4 linked regions of the Saccharomyces cerevisiae S288C genome follow. Changing the gene in region 1 together with any one later gene gives a genetic interaction. Each region holds a gene or a part of one and is shown on either strand. Other genes may lie near its edges.

Region 1 (3,019 bases):
TAGCATATCTTTATTGCGTTTGCTTTTTTGAGAAAGTAATTGCTTACACGTTCTAGAATAAAAAAGTATGGTTGTAAGAACGCACTTGAAAAGGCACCAATCTGCTCGGGTTTTTACAACTAACACTAACCTAGATGAGAGGTAAAAAGAAATCGTAAAAAAAAGTTGTTGCCCAGCACAATAACGACACTTTACCCGCTAATTCCAGGAGGTTTGAGTTAGACAACGACCTTCCCACCCCGTTTTCCCATAATTCTATTGTTATACACCTGGATCTGGAGGTCCGTGAAACGGCATACCTCGACGAAAAAGGTCACTACTAATCAAATCAAACTGACATTAATAAAAACGTATAAACTGACAGCTGTAGATCTAAATAAACTAGATTAAACATATGAAATAGTTTGTAAAAAGTGGCATCATGACCAATAATAGGTCCAGATGAAGAAAAAAGAAAAAAGAAGACGAAATTAGGGTAAAATTTCTCACTTGCTGCTCAAGGGTGAGACCCGCACCTCAGGCATGTAATAGAAGCTTCGACCACCGCATCTACCAGACGCCTTGGTTCCCACTATCATCATCATATTCATCGTTTCCTGACCCAGACAGATCGCGTCTACCGCTGCCGATATTAGAGGATTGGTAGCGGTTACTTTGAGCACCTCTTGTACGACCTTGTTTTTGCTGTTGGCCCGAAGTCAAGAAGTCATCGTCTTCATCGTCGTCCAACTGACCTTGAGTGTTAGTTTCGCGGTAAGTTTGGGTATAAGTGCCACCACCAGTGCCGGCAGTGTAGTCAGTAGTTTGTTGCTGGAAGTCGTTACCGCCAAACTGCGTGTTACCGCCTAGATTAGACTGTGGCTGCTGGCGTTGAGGGAAATTCCCTTGGTTTTCTTCGCCGTAGGGATCGGCCTTGGATCCTTGATTCCTGAATTCCCTCTGTTGATGTTTTTCATGACGCTGTTGTCTAGTCTGGTCGTCATTGTCGTCTTCGTAACGTTCATCATGATCGTTGCCGTGCAACTTATCAGCAAACTTGTTTAATAGATTGGACATTTCTTAATTGTTATTCGTACTTAGCTTTTATGCGGTAGTGTTTGGCTCTGCTGCTAGTAGATATTAAGAGTTGAGGGTAGGTATGTATCCTTTTTTTGATGAAATAGTAATGTGCTTTTATAGTCCAAGAAATATTGACTGCTTCAAGGGAGCCTGATTAACAAGCACGTAACGGAGACCAAAAAAAGGATTTCGGTCTTTTCTAACCATTTCCCTTTACTCCCTTGTGCGTTATTTGTTTTGATTACTAGGCATGATGTATGGAGGAACTTGCGATCAAATGTCATAAAAGTGGAGGAGTGAAAAGAAATGACGAAGCCCAAAACGTGGTCCTAGAATTACCACATTTCCTTTTTCTAAAGGAAGCCAGACTATGCTTTACGCAAGAACTGTGGTTAAAGAGGGATATTCTGATGAACATAAATTCATACACATTCATGAGAAGCACGACAAGGATTGGTTAATTACTTACAACTAAGGCAAAACTGCCATTGACCTCATCTGTACCACCACATGCTGTGTAGTTATTTTCCCTTTGTGATCCCTAAAAAAGATGGGATCTACACACCTTACAAGAACATCCTCAAACCCATACCTGGAACCACTGAACATATTCTTCCCGTGAAAGGCTCTACGGCGAAACTACTGTAATGTCACAGGAAATTAAGGATGCTTCGACTATGGAACGGACCATACATGGGGACCCGATGTATAGAAAGCCTCAATGAGGCAAAGAGTCTAGCTCCTTTAAGATACGTAATTCTCCTTCTGTTTTCCCTTAATTATTCGGGTGAAATACCACATGGTCGCACGGCTGACGGGGAACTCCGGAATTGGACGATGAAGAACTTAACGGTGATATGAGGTGATCGTGGAACAAAACGTTGTGCCAAAGAAGCCACAAATACGTCACTGTAATTATTCTGCCTGCATAAAAAGAGCCATCAAGGATAAGCTAGAGACTATACTCCGGAAGTAGAAGAAGGAAGGTGTGAGAAAGAAGATAGAGCGTGTAACACAATCATGGGGGAAAAAAGGACAATAATCAAAGCGCTGAAAAACTCTGCAGCGTCCCACTTCATCAAGAAGTTGACCGCAGATACTTCCCTGTCGTCCATACAAGAGGCAATAAACGTCGTGCAGCAGTACAATGCAACGGATCCCGTGAGATTAAAGCTTTTCCATACGCCTCGGATGGTTTCGCAGGGGGCTCATTTTGCATTTTGTTTGCCCACTAAGAAACCACATTACAAGCCATTACTGCTTTCGCAAAACGCACTTGATGAGTTTAATTTGGTGCAGGATCAGGACTTGGAGAAAATACTATCCGGTGAGAAAGTATATTATTCCGATAGTATCTTTCCCTATAGTACAGTGTACTCCGGATTTCAATTCGGCTCATTTGCTGCACAGCTGGGAGACGGACGTGTGGTAAACTTGTTTGATCTTAAGGACAAGTGTAGCGGACAATGGCAAACGTTTCAGTTGAAAGGTGCCGGTATGACGCCATTTTCTCGGTTTGCAGATGGGAAAGCTGTGTTAAGATCAAGCATACGTGAATTCATAATGAGCGAGGCGTTGCACAGTATTGGAATTCCATCCACAAGAGCTATGCAATTAACTCTGTTACCGGGGACGAAGGCGCAAAGGCGCAATCAAGAACCGTGCGCTGTTGTATGCCGTTTTGCGCCCAGCTGGATCCGCTTGGGTAACTTCAACCTATTCAGATGGCGGCACGACTTGAAAGGGTTGATCCAACTATCAGATTATTGCATTGAGGAATTGTTTGCTGGGGGGACCCAATTTGAGGGGAAACCCGACTTTAATATATTCAAAAGGGATTTTTTTCCTGACACTGAGACGAAGATTGATGAGCAGGTGGAAAAGGATGAAACTGAGGTGAGTACCATGACCGGAGATAACATTTCCACATTGAGCAAATATGATGAGTTTTTCAGACATG
Region 2 (4,203 bases), on another chromosome or scaffold:
AGGCAAAAAAATGACCTCAAGCTCTAAGAGTAAGGTTCCGATATTCAAGTCCTTCAATTTAAAAAGCTACCAACGAAACCACTATTATTCATCCAAAAAGGAAAGGAAACATGGAAGTCCTGATATTGATTCTTTGTTCCATGAAACCAATGGAGCCTCAAAAGTAAGAATGACTGATGCCGGTAAAATGGATACGAACTCTCAGTTCCAAGAAATATGGGAAATATTGGGTAAAAATGCGTACACACATAAATCTTACTCTGAAGATCCAAATTCATGTTTGGGATCAGCACTAAGCGATCATGAAGAAGAAGAAGAAGCAGGAAAACAACAACAGCAACAGCAGCAACAACAGCAACAGCAGCAACATTATGGAATGACGTCGAAGTCTAGCAGTCCTGATGAAGAAAAAAAAAATAATAAAGAACCGAAAAGGGAAAGCAGAGTCTCTCCAGAGGAAAATGGCGAAGAAGAAACGGGACACAAACAATTTAAATTGCCCAAGACCAGTACTTTTTCTAGTGGATCCCATGATTCAAATTTGCAATCTCCTTTTTACAATCATGAGTATCGACATTACGCAAGAAGTAAATTCGAATGCAAGAATCAGTTTAGAAAGTCAGTTTCTCCCATTAAAGAGATACCTGCAACAACTAGTGCCAATGAAGGATGGAACATTTTGAGAGACATTATTGAAAAACTCAATATAAGCAATGTAGACGATCGAAATAAAGACTTGCTGTTTCGTCGGGATGAAATAGGTGATAAAAATCACAGCGACTCAATCGACATAGAAAATTTATCTATCAAAGAACCTAAAGGGATGAAAAGGAGAAAGAAAGATGATATATCTTTAGAAGAATTGTTCCAATCTTTACCAAGAGAAAAAGATTATTTTATGATGGATGCAATTAATGACTCGTTAGAATCAATCAATCTTTTTAAAAAGCCGAAGACCACTCAGAGTCACGAACAAGGTGGAACTTTTGCCCAAGCAGAAAGTAATCGTGCAAAATTCAAACCGTTACTAGAACAGTGTGGAATTACACCCGAGATCTTAGATTTGGAAATACCAGAGATTCCGGAATTTGATGCAGTGGCTGACCTTGAAACATTGAAGCTTAACGTGCAGCTGTTTAATAACCAATGTAACAAACTTAAAGAAACAATACATCAAGTATCATTACAGCGCCTGAGAGCAGATACGCAGTTCAGTGATATGTTAACCCAAAAGCAAAGTATTATGGTTTGGAAAACATACCTAGAATTTGATAAAAGTTTAATGGACAAATTGAACATCTTACAAGAAAGACAGATGCAGGTCATTAAAATTTTTTCCGAAAGATGTGACGGTAAAGTATAATCGAACGCTCTTCTTAATGAGCATATACCCGTCGTCCTTACGCCAGGATGGAAATAATTTGAATGAATAATGTAAAATATATAAAAGTATCTAGTCAGTACATTTCATGTCTCAATTATTAATATCTTAAATATATATTTAGTTATGGAAATTCAATAAACTACTGAAATAAATAGAAAATTCTTACAGAAAATGGTAAAAGTAAAAAAAAATTACCAAAGGGTGCACTTGGCAATTTAAAAGTACTTATAAACTGGTTTGGCTTCCAAGTGAATGAAAGTGCTATGGGATTATCATCAGGTAAGTACAGTGTATCTTACTAACATTGGCCGAGCGTTTATTGTTGTTCCGTGGAAGTTTATCATGATTTCCCGCCCTTAATCGAAATCAAAAAAAAAAAAAATAAAGGGTAAGGGATTCCTAAAAACCAACAAGATGAAGGGCTGATCTGCAAGAAGTCTAATAGACTTATAAGGAATACAAACCCTAGTTCTTGCATTTCACGTATACATCTTCAAACCGTGCGAAGCAAAGGCGCAGAACAATGTCAAACGAGGATGAAACAACTCGTTTAATGTCTTCAGATGAGATGGACTATTTATTGGAAACGGCTGGGATCAACGCCTTGGAAGAAATCATTAGTCAAAATGACAGTACTGGAATAAATTTGGATACTAATGAAACAGCTCAGGACAGTAGCTATGACTCTATCCGGCGCTCCCCCAGTATTTTGAGTGTTGCCAAAAGCGTTGAGGGAGAGCATGGACGTAGAAAACTATTATGCCTTTACGGCCTTGTTATGATTATCTGTATTGCGGAGTCTATTTCTATGACTGCTACAATACCGTTGGTGATGGACAAGGTAGCGGAAGGAATTTCAGATGAGAATGGACATTATGATTCCGTGGCTGTACAGACAATAGTTTCCAGCATTTCTTCATCCACTATGATGATAGCAGGGGCAATCAGTATTTTCATGGCTGGTAAGTGGGGAGAATTATCCGATAGAATAGGAAGAGTGCGTGTTTTCAAATACATGAGCGGCATCAGGGTCATAGGGCTTCTTACGCACGTCTTTACCCTATCATCGAAAATGAAGTATCACAAATGGGCTATTGTTCTTACTGCGTGTATCGTACCATCATTCGGTGGCTTGTTTGCGCTAGTGGCGAATGGAAATAGTTACGTTTCAGATATAGTGAAAACTGAGCACAGAATGGTGACAATAGGAATAATGATGAGTTGTATATATGCCACTATGGGCGTAGGCCCAATGTTTGGGTCCTTTCTGGTGAAGTGGACTCATGGAAACGGGTTCATTCCTATTTACACATCAATAGCGTTTGTTATACTGGCGCTTATAATATGTGAGACAATCATGGTGGAACCGCGCCATGAAACCCAAATGGCCCATTCACAATCAACTTATACAAAGAGGAGAGAGAAACTAAGATCACAATCGGGTTCTGACGATGCAAGAAATTACCAATCCGTTACTTATGGAAAATTTCAAATAATGAGGTTAATGGACCTGCTCGCTCCAGTAAAAAAGTTATGGCTGAAGCCCGACAGTGCAGGGTCTTTAGTACCCCGGCATACCGTAATATTACTCATTGTACTCGATATACTATTTGTCTGTGGAACGACATCGTGTATGCCAGCATTGATTTTGTTTTCTACATATGAGTACAAATGGCATGCAGTAGAGCTAGGTTATTTCATATCGATACTGGGTATCGGAAGAGGTGTTGTGTTACTGGTCGTATCACCTACATTACTGTACACGCTAAAGAGGATTTATCAACACTTGAACCATTCGATAGACAAGATAGACATCTTTTGCATACAGTTTTCTATGATTGTTATAACACTGAGTCTCTTTGTCATGATACGATTTGGCGAGAAAACTCCCACATCCATGATAATATTCGCTCTTTTACAGGCATTGAGCGCGTTTTGTTCACCAACTTTGCAGTCTGGTATCATAAAGTACACCTCTAAGAAACATACAGGCGAGATGTTCGGAGCAATGGCTTTGGTAAGGTCCTGTGTTATGCTTGTCATCCCTCCCATCCTCCTTAAGCTATATGGAAGTACTGTCTCCGTTAATCCTAGTCTGTTTATGTATATACCGTTCTCAACAAGTATTGTTGCCATCTTGTTGACATTCTTCCTAAGAATTTACAAGAACCCTCCGCTGGACGGGCCTTAAAAACATTTACATACCGTATACACCACATATTTTTAGTTACTTGTTCGAAGCTGTGCTGCTATTCGTTCTTGCAAAGCCAGTGTCCTAACGACTTTGCTTATGACATGATTCAACATAGTGTTGTTGTGGTTTTTTCTACGTAATCATGATGATCTTTTTTTTCGCGCTATTAGGGGGGAGGGAAGGCGGGATCTGGTAAAAGTTTGACATAATAATCAAGGGGGATATCGTATCCCTTTACTTGAAAACTTGAAAAATATTCATCTACTATCTCTGGCCAGAAAAACGTGAGAATTTTTAGGTGCGAAACATCATAGAAGCTGCGATTGTATCCATCTAAGAGTTTTAATTTGATAAAGCTAAGGAATCTGACCCTATACTTTTTTTTTTGTTTGGCTTGCTTGCATTTTCAATCGGCTTCAAAGGTAGCACAGAAAGTAGTGTTCTCTTAGCTTAAGCAGTGCATGAATTATAGCTGATTGTGTGAAAGAATCTTTTTTTTGGGTATGTCGACTGAAGAACAAAATGGAGGTGGTCAAAAGTCTCTAGATGATAGACAAGGTGAGGAATCACAAAAAGGTGAGACTAGTGAAAGGGAAACAACAGCCACAGAGAGCGGTAACGAAAG
Region 3 (3,943 bases), on another chromosome or scaffold:
ACGCAGAACGTCCCCAGTTCGATCCTGGGCGAAATCAATTTTTTTTGAATTTTTTTTTTTTCTTTAGAAAAATGTATAGTGGATTTTCGTAGCTTTATGTTAAGAGTACAGCAACGGCATTATTATTCAATAAGCATTATAAAACAGATCGATTTGAATATTACCGGAGGCCCTCTGAGCTTTCTTATTTGTTTATCATTTCGATAAAAGGGGCAGTAGGTGTTTGCTTTACTTCCAGTATAAACTAACGAAGAATAAGGCTGAAGCAATTGTTATGACGCCTTCTAATATGGATGATAATACCAGCGGATTCATGAAATTTATTAACCCTCAATGCCAAGAGGAGGATTGTTGTATCAGAAATAGTCTATTCCAAGAAGATAGCAAATGTATAAAACAACAACCAGACCTATTGAGCGAGCAAACAGCACCCTTCCCAATTTTGGAAGACCAGTGTCCTGCTTTGAACCTTGACAGATCAAATAATGATTTGCTATTACAGAACAACATATCTTTCCCTAAGGGTAGTGATCTTCAAGCAATTCAACTAACCCCTATTTCAGGCGACTACTCTACCTATGTTATGGCAGATAACAATAATAATGATAATGATAGTTATAGTAATACAAATTATTTTTCTAAAAATAATGGTATATCTCCAAGTTCGAGGAGTCCCTCAGTTGCTCATAATGAGAATGTTCCAGATGACTCTAAGGCAAAGAAAAAGGCTCAAAACAGAGCCGCCCAAAAAGCCTTCAGAGAGAGAAAAGAAGCCAGAATGAAAGAATTACAAGATAAATTGTTAGAAAGTGAAAGGAACCGCCAAAGTTTATTGAAAGAAATTGAGGAACTAAGAAAGGCAAATACTGAAATCAACGCAGAGAACAGACTGCTACTGCGGAGTGGTAATGAAAATTTTTCAAAGGACATAGAAGATGATACCAACTACAAATATTCTTTCCCAACGAAAGATGAATTTTTTACCTCTATGGTCCTGGAAAGCAAACTGAATCACAAAGGCAAGTATTCGCTAAAGGATAATGAAATTATGAAGCGAAATACCCAGTATACTGACGAAGCAGGAAGACATGTACTAACAGTCCCCGCCACCTGGGAGTATCTTTACAAACTTTCAGAAGAGAGGGACTTTGATGTGACATACGTTATGAGCAAATTGCAAGGACAAGAATGTTGTCATACCCATGGACCTGCGTATCCAAGAAGTTTAATCGATTTTCTAGTGGAGGAAGCTACTTTGAATGAATGAATAGACTTTGACAAAAATAACTTACAAACACTAAATAAGAAAGGGCAGGCAACATCTTCATGAGGCAAACCAGGTTCTTTTTTTATTGACTTCGAAGTATACATTTTCATCGCATAATTGACACACAATACGCCCTTTACCATTCCAACCTACTACACCTTTTACTTATATAAGTGTATAAACTATGTTCTTACGCGGTGTTTTTAGGGGACGGCCTGTTATAAAATGGAAAATATAAAAATGAAATTTCACCCGCGGATTAAGTAAAAGTTCAAAGGAAAACACATAGAGGCAATAACGGAATAGTAGCATTGAATGTATTACTTTCTGGTTGGCCCTCACATCTATGGATCAATTTGAGTATATCATTACTTTAGAATTTGGAAACCAAAATCAGGTTGAATCCGCTTATCAAATTTTCAAGAGTATTCCGAAAAAGTTGAAGGCAAAAAGTATCGGGGAAGAAAGTATTAAAAGTAATAATCAAGACTGGCAGGATTGGAGAGTCTGTGACTTGGAAATAGACATGATAACTGATTTCAAAAATCAAACATCAAAAGAAGAGGAAAGTGATTTGATTACTTCACAATACTTAGGCCATGGGATAATAAGGCTATTCAAGCTAAGCAATGCCAATAATACTCTTAATGAGAAGGAGATTTTGACTATCCCGGGAGATGATACTATGATATGTATCCTGTTTGTTCCAACTTATTTTACCGTTCACGATTTATTGCATTTTTATATTGGTGATGATATTGTTAATAAGCAAGTTTCAAACTTTCGTATATTACGAAATCAGCAGAAGGGAATGGGTTTTAATTTCACGGTCTTAATTAAATTCAGGAATGCACTTGATGCGAAAAATTTCAAGGAAGAGTTCAATGGCAAAAGTTTCAGCAGGATGGATCCCGAAACATGCCATGTGATCTCTGTAAAAGAAATAGTTTTTCAAAAAAAGCTCTTCCAAAGACCAGCCGCTAACGAGGACTTCCCCTATCTGCTTACTGATCCATTCACTGTTAAGAAAAAAAAGGAACTGGTAAAAGTCGAACTCCCCACATGTCCCGTTTGCCTTGAAAGAATGGATTCAGAAACTACTGGATTAGTAACGATCCCGTGCCAGCACACTTTTCATTGCCAATGCTTAAATAAGTGGAAGAATTCAAGGTGTCCAGTGTGTCGACATTCAAGTCTGCGGCTAAGCAGGGAATCATTATTGAAACAGGCAGGTGATTCCGCACATTGTGCAACATGTGGTTCCACTGATAATCTATGGATTTGCTTGATCTGCGGTAATGTTGGATGCGGTCGTTACAATTCCAAACACGCAATCAAGCATTATGAAGAAACTTTACATTGTTTTGCGATGGATATACGGACACAAAGAGTGTGGGATTATGCGGGTGATAATTATGTCCATCGCCTAGTTCAAAATGAAGTTGATGGGAAGTTAGTAGAGGTCGGCGGCTCCGGTGACGATGACAACAATGATATAGGCAACTCCGATGAACTACAAAATGTTGTTTACGGGAACAGGAGCAAAAACGGTGAGAAATCGAACTCTAATAAAAAAGATGGCGAGCTGGCGGCAAATTTTTTAAGGCATAGGGAGTATCATCTAGAATATGTGCAAGTCCTAATATCTCAATTAGAGTCTCAAAGAGAATATTATGAACTGAAATTACAAGAAAAAGATCAAACTGCGTCTGATTCTTCGAATGTTGAAAGTTTGAAGAAGTCTATGGAAGATTTGAAACTCCAATTTCAGGTCACTCAAAAGGAGTGGCAGAAAAGGGAAATGGCCCAGAAATCTAAGCTTGAGGAAGATATGTTAGTAATCGAAGGACTACAAGCGAACCTAGATCACTTATCAAAAAAACAAGAGCAGTTAGAGCGAGAAAACAAAGCGTTAGAAGAGTCTAAACAAGATTTGGAAGAGCAAGTCAAGGACCTAATGTTTTATCTAGATTCTCAAGAAAAATTCAAAGACGCTGATGAGAGTGTAAAAGAAGGTACCATCCTAATACAGCAACCACATGGGGCAGCACAGGCATCCAAAAGCAAGAAGAAGCGCAACAAAAATAAAAAAGCAGGGAAATGATTATCTTCATCACCGCCATACCATTCTTGCATTCTAAATTTATTATATCTCTGTGTACGGCAGGCTCATCGATTTTTCTTTTCTTTTTTTTTTTTTTTTTTTTTTGCCTGCGAAAATTTTCCAGTCGAATAGTAAGTAATAGGATGAGTTTTATAAAGTTATGATTGCGAACGGTATTATTCGCTAAACTCGTATCTGTTTATAATCACGTACCCTCTTATTTACTTACTTTTTCTTGAATATATCTAAGAAAGATTCATACTCTTTTTTCTACGTACTTTGCCAGCGCAGGATAAACGAACCTACCCATTCAAACTGAGCCTCATATATTCACTTAGGATTACAAAATGCCAACAAATTCCATCAAATTATTAGCACCAGATGTCCACCGAGGTTTAGCTGAACTTGTTGCCAAAAGGCTAGGTCTACAGTTAACAAGCAGCAAACTAAAGAGAGATCCAACCGGTGAGGTTTCCTTTTCTATTGGAGAATCTGTTAGGGACCAAGATATCTTTATCATCACGCAAATTGGCTCTGGTGTCGTGAACGATCGTGTTCTAGAACTACTGATC
Region 4 (2,757 bases), on another chromosome or scaffold:
CTCTGATATCTGTAGCCCTAGTTTTTAATATTTTCGTAAAATGCTCAAAAAAATTTCTGTTTAAATTCTTCTGGGGTATATACACATGTTCCCGTCAGCTAAATTAAAAAGAAGAAGGAACCGAAAGAAGGCAAATTATAAAGTAATCATCCTCGGCATATTGAGGGGAAAATATCCGTCAAAAAAAAAAGTTCTGCACGTCGTCATAAGTGACTATGGTATCAAACACCAATTAACACGAACGTAGCGATAATGAAGGCAACTTCGTAGCTGAAACAGAACGAAGTTAGTTAGGATGAATAATTATGATTATGATTATTATAATATTATATAAAATGTATAAATAAGATTTCTAGATCAAAAAAACATCGCGTATTTTGTAAGCTATAGAAATCTAAAATATCTAATCAGATCTTGGAGCTTCCTTGAAGGAGATGGCAGCTTCTTCACCCATGGCAGAAATGATAGTGACCATCAAATCCTTACCTTCATCGAAAGCAGCTTGCATGCTGTCACCCAATTCACCTTCTGGTGCCTTGACATCGTCTTTGGTTTCACCGTCCATGGTCATCAAGGACAAGTAGCCATCATCAATATCCAACAATTGGTATTCGCTTCTCTTGACAAATGGAACTTCCAAGTTGTGAGTGGATGGAGACAAATCTTCCAACTTCTTACCAGTGAAGATATCAAGGGTAACCAAATGGACCTTGGCGTGACCGTGCTTACCGGTCTTGGAAGTGGACATGTCGACAATCTTACATGGTCTACCTTTGATGACAACGAAACCATTCTTTCTCAAGGCAGAACATTGCATTGGGTAGGTGGCGGAGGCACCAGCGTCAGCATTTTCAAAGGTGTGTTCTTCGTCAGACATGTTTTAGTGTGTGAATGAAATAGGTGTATGTTTTCTTTTTGCTAGACAATAATTAGGAACAAGGTAAGGGAACTAAAGTGTAGAATAAGATTAAAAAAGAAGAACAAGTTGAAAAGGCAAGTTGAAATTTCAAGAAAAAAGTCAATTGAAGTACAGTAAATTGACCTGAATATATCTGAGTTCCGACAACAATGAGTTTACCAAAGAGAACAATGGAATAGGAAACTTTGAACGAAGAAAGGAAAGCAGGAAAGGAAAAAATTTTTAGGCTCGAGAACAATAGGGCGAAAAAACAGGCAACGAACGAACAATGGAAAAACGAAAAAAAAAAAAAAAAACACAGAAAAGAATGCAGAAAGATGTCAACTGAAAAAAAAAAAGGTGAACACAGGAAAAAAAATAAAAAAAAAAAAAAAAAAAGGAGGACGAAACAAAAAAGTGAAAAAAAATGAAAATTTTTTTGGAAAACCAAGAAATGAATTATATTTCCGTGTGAGACGACATCGTCGAATATGATTCAGGGTAACAGTATTGATGTAATCAATTTCCTACCTGAATCTAAAATTCCCGGGAGCAAGATCAAGATGTTTTCACCGATCTTTCCGGTCTCTTTGGCCGGGGTTTACGGACGATGGCAGAAGACCAAAGCGCCAGTTCATTTGGCGAGCGTTGGTTGGTGGATCAAGCCCACGCGTAGGCAATCCTCGAGCAGATCCGCCAGGCGTGTATATATAGCGTGGATGGCCAGGCAACTTTAGTGCTGACACATACAGGCATATATATATGTGTGCGACGACACATGATCATATGGCATGCATGTGCTCTGTATGTATATAAAACTCTTGTTTTCTTCTTTTCTCTAAATATTCTTTCCTTATACATTAGGACCTTTGCAGCATAAATTACTATACTTCTATAGACACACAAACACAAATACACACACTAAATTAATAATGACTGAATTCAAGGCCGGTTCTGCTAAGAAAGGTGCTACACTTTTCAAGACTAGATGTCTACAATGCCACACCGTGGAAAAGGGTGGCCCACATAAGGTTGGTCCAAACTTGCATGGTATCTTTGGCAGACACTCTGGTCAAGCTGAAGGGTATTCGTACACAGATGCCAATATCAAGAAAAACGTGTTGTGGGACGAAAATAACATGTCAGAGTACTTGACTAACCCAAAGAAATATATTCCTGGTACCAAGATGGCCTTTGGTGGGTTGAAGAAGGAAAAAGACAGAAACGACTTAATTACCTACTTGAAAAAAGCCTGTGAGTAAACAGGCCCCTTTTCCTTTGTCGATATCATGTAATTAGTTATGTCACGCTTACATTCACGCCCTCCTCCCACATCCGCTCTAACCGAAAAGGAAGGAGTTAGACAACCTGAAGTCTAGGTCCCTATTTATTTTTTTTAATAGTTATGTTAGTATTAAGAACGTTATTTATATTTCAAATTTTTCTTTTTTTTCTGTACAAACGCGTGTACGCATGTAACATTATACTGAAAACCTTGCTTGAGAAGGTTTTGGGACGCTCGAAGGCTTTAATTTGCAAGCTTCGCAGTTTACACTCTCATCGTCGCTCTCATCATCGCTTCCGTTGTTGTTTTCCTTAGTAGCGTCTGCTTCCAGAGAGTATTTATCTCTTATTACCTCTAAAGGTTCTGCTTGATTTCTGACTTTGTTCGCCTCATGTGCATATTTTTCTTGGTTCTTTTGGGACAAAATATGCGTAAAGGACTTTTGTTGTTCCCTCACATTCCAGTTTAGTTGTCGACTGATACTGTTAATAAACTCATCGGGCGAGGCTTCCACGGTTGGAAAAGCATATGGGCTGGCGCATATGGTTATAAAATCACCTTTTTGCAATTCAAT

The links.
Region 2: mutations in GRE1 (region 1) and YJL163C together harm fitness more than expected from each alone (negative genetic interaction), as found in Saccharomyces cerevisiae (2 studies listed by BioGRID).
Region 3: mutations in GRE1 (region 1) and ETP1 together harm fitness more than expected from each alone (negative genetic interaction), as found in Saccharomyces cerevisiae (2 studies listed by BioGRID).
Region 4: mutations in GRE1 (region 1) and CYC1 together harm fitness more than expected from each alone (negative genetic interaction), as found in Saccharomyces cerevisiae (2 studies listed by BioGRID).

Annotation. Positions count from the first base shown.
Region 1 is NC_001148.4:128,083-131,101, forward strand, and holds GRE1 (Gre1p), read right to left. Parts: upstream 1,057-3,019; coding exon 550-1,056; downstream 1-549. Other genes in the region: MMT2 (Mmt2p), read right to left, coding at 1-6; FMP40 (Fmp40p), read left to right, coding at 2,080-3,019.
Region 2 is NC_001142.9:111,038-115,240, reverse strand, and holds YJL163C (uncharacterized protein), read left to right. Parts: upstream 1-1,907; coding exon 1,908-3,575; downstream 3,576-4,203. Other genes in the region: JJJ2 (Jjj2p), read left to right, coding at 1-1,363; cAMP-dependent protein kinase catalytic subunit TPK1, read left to right, coding at 4,082-4,203.
Region 3 is NC_001140.6:81,392-85,334, reverse strand, and holds ETP1 (Etp1p), read left to right. Parts: upstream 1-1,613; coding exon 1,614-3,371; downstream 3,372-3,943. Other genes in the region: YAP3 (Yap3p), read left to right, coding at 275-1,267; ribose phosphate diphosphokinase subunit PRS3, read left to right, coding at 3,719-3,943.
Region 4 is NC_001142.9:524,505-527,261, forward strand, and holds CYC1 (cytochrome c), read left to right. Parts: upstream 1-1,830; coding exon 1,831-2,160; downstream 2,161-2,757. Other genes in the region: ANB1 (translation elongation factor eIF-5A), read right to left, coding at 404-877; UTR1 (NADH/NAD(+) kinase), read right to left, coding at 2,380-2,757.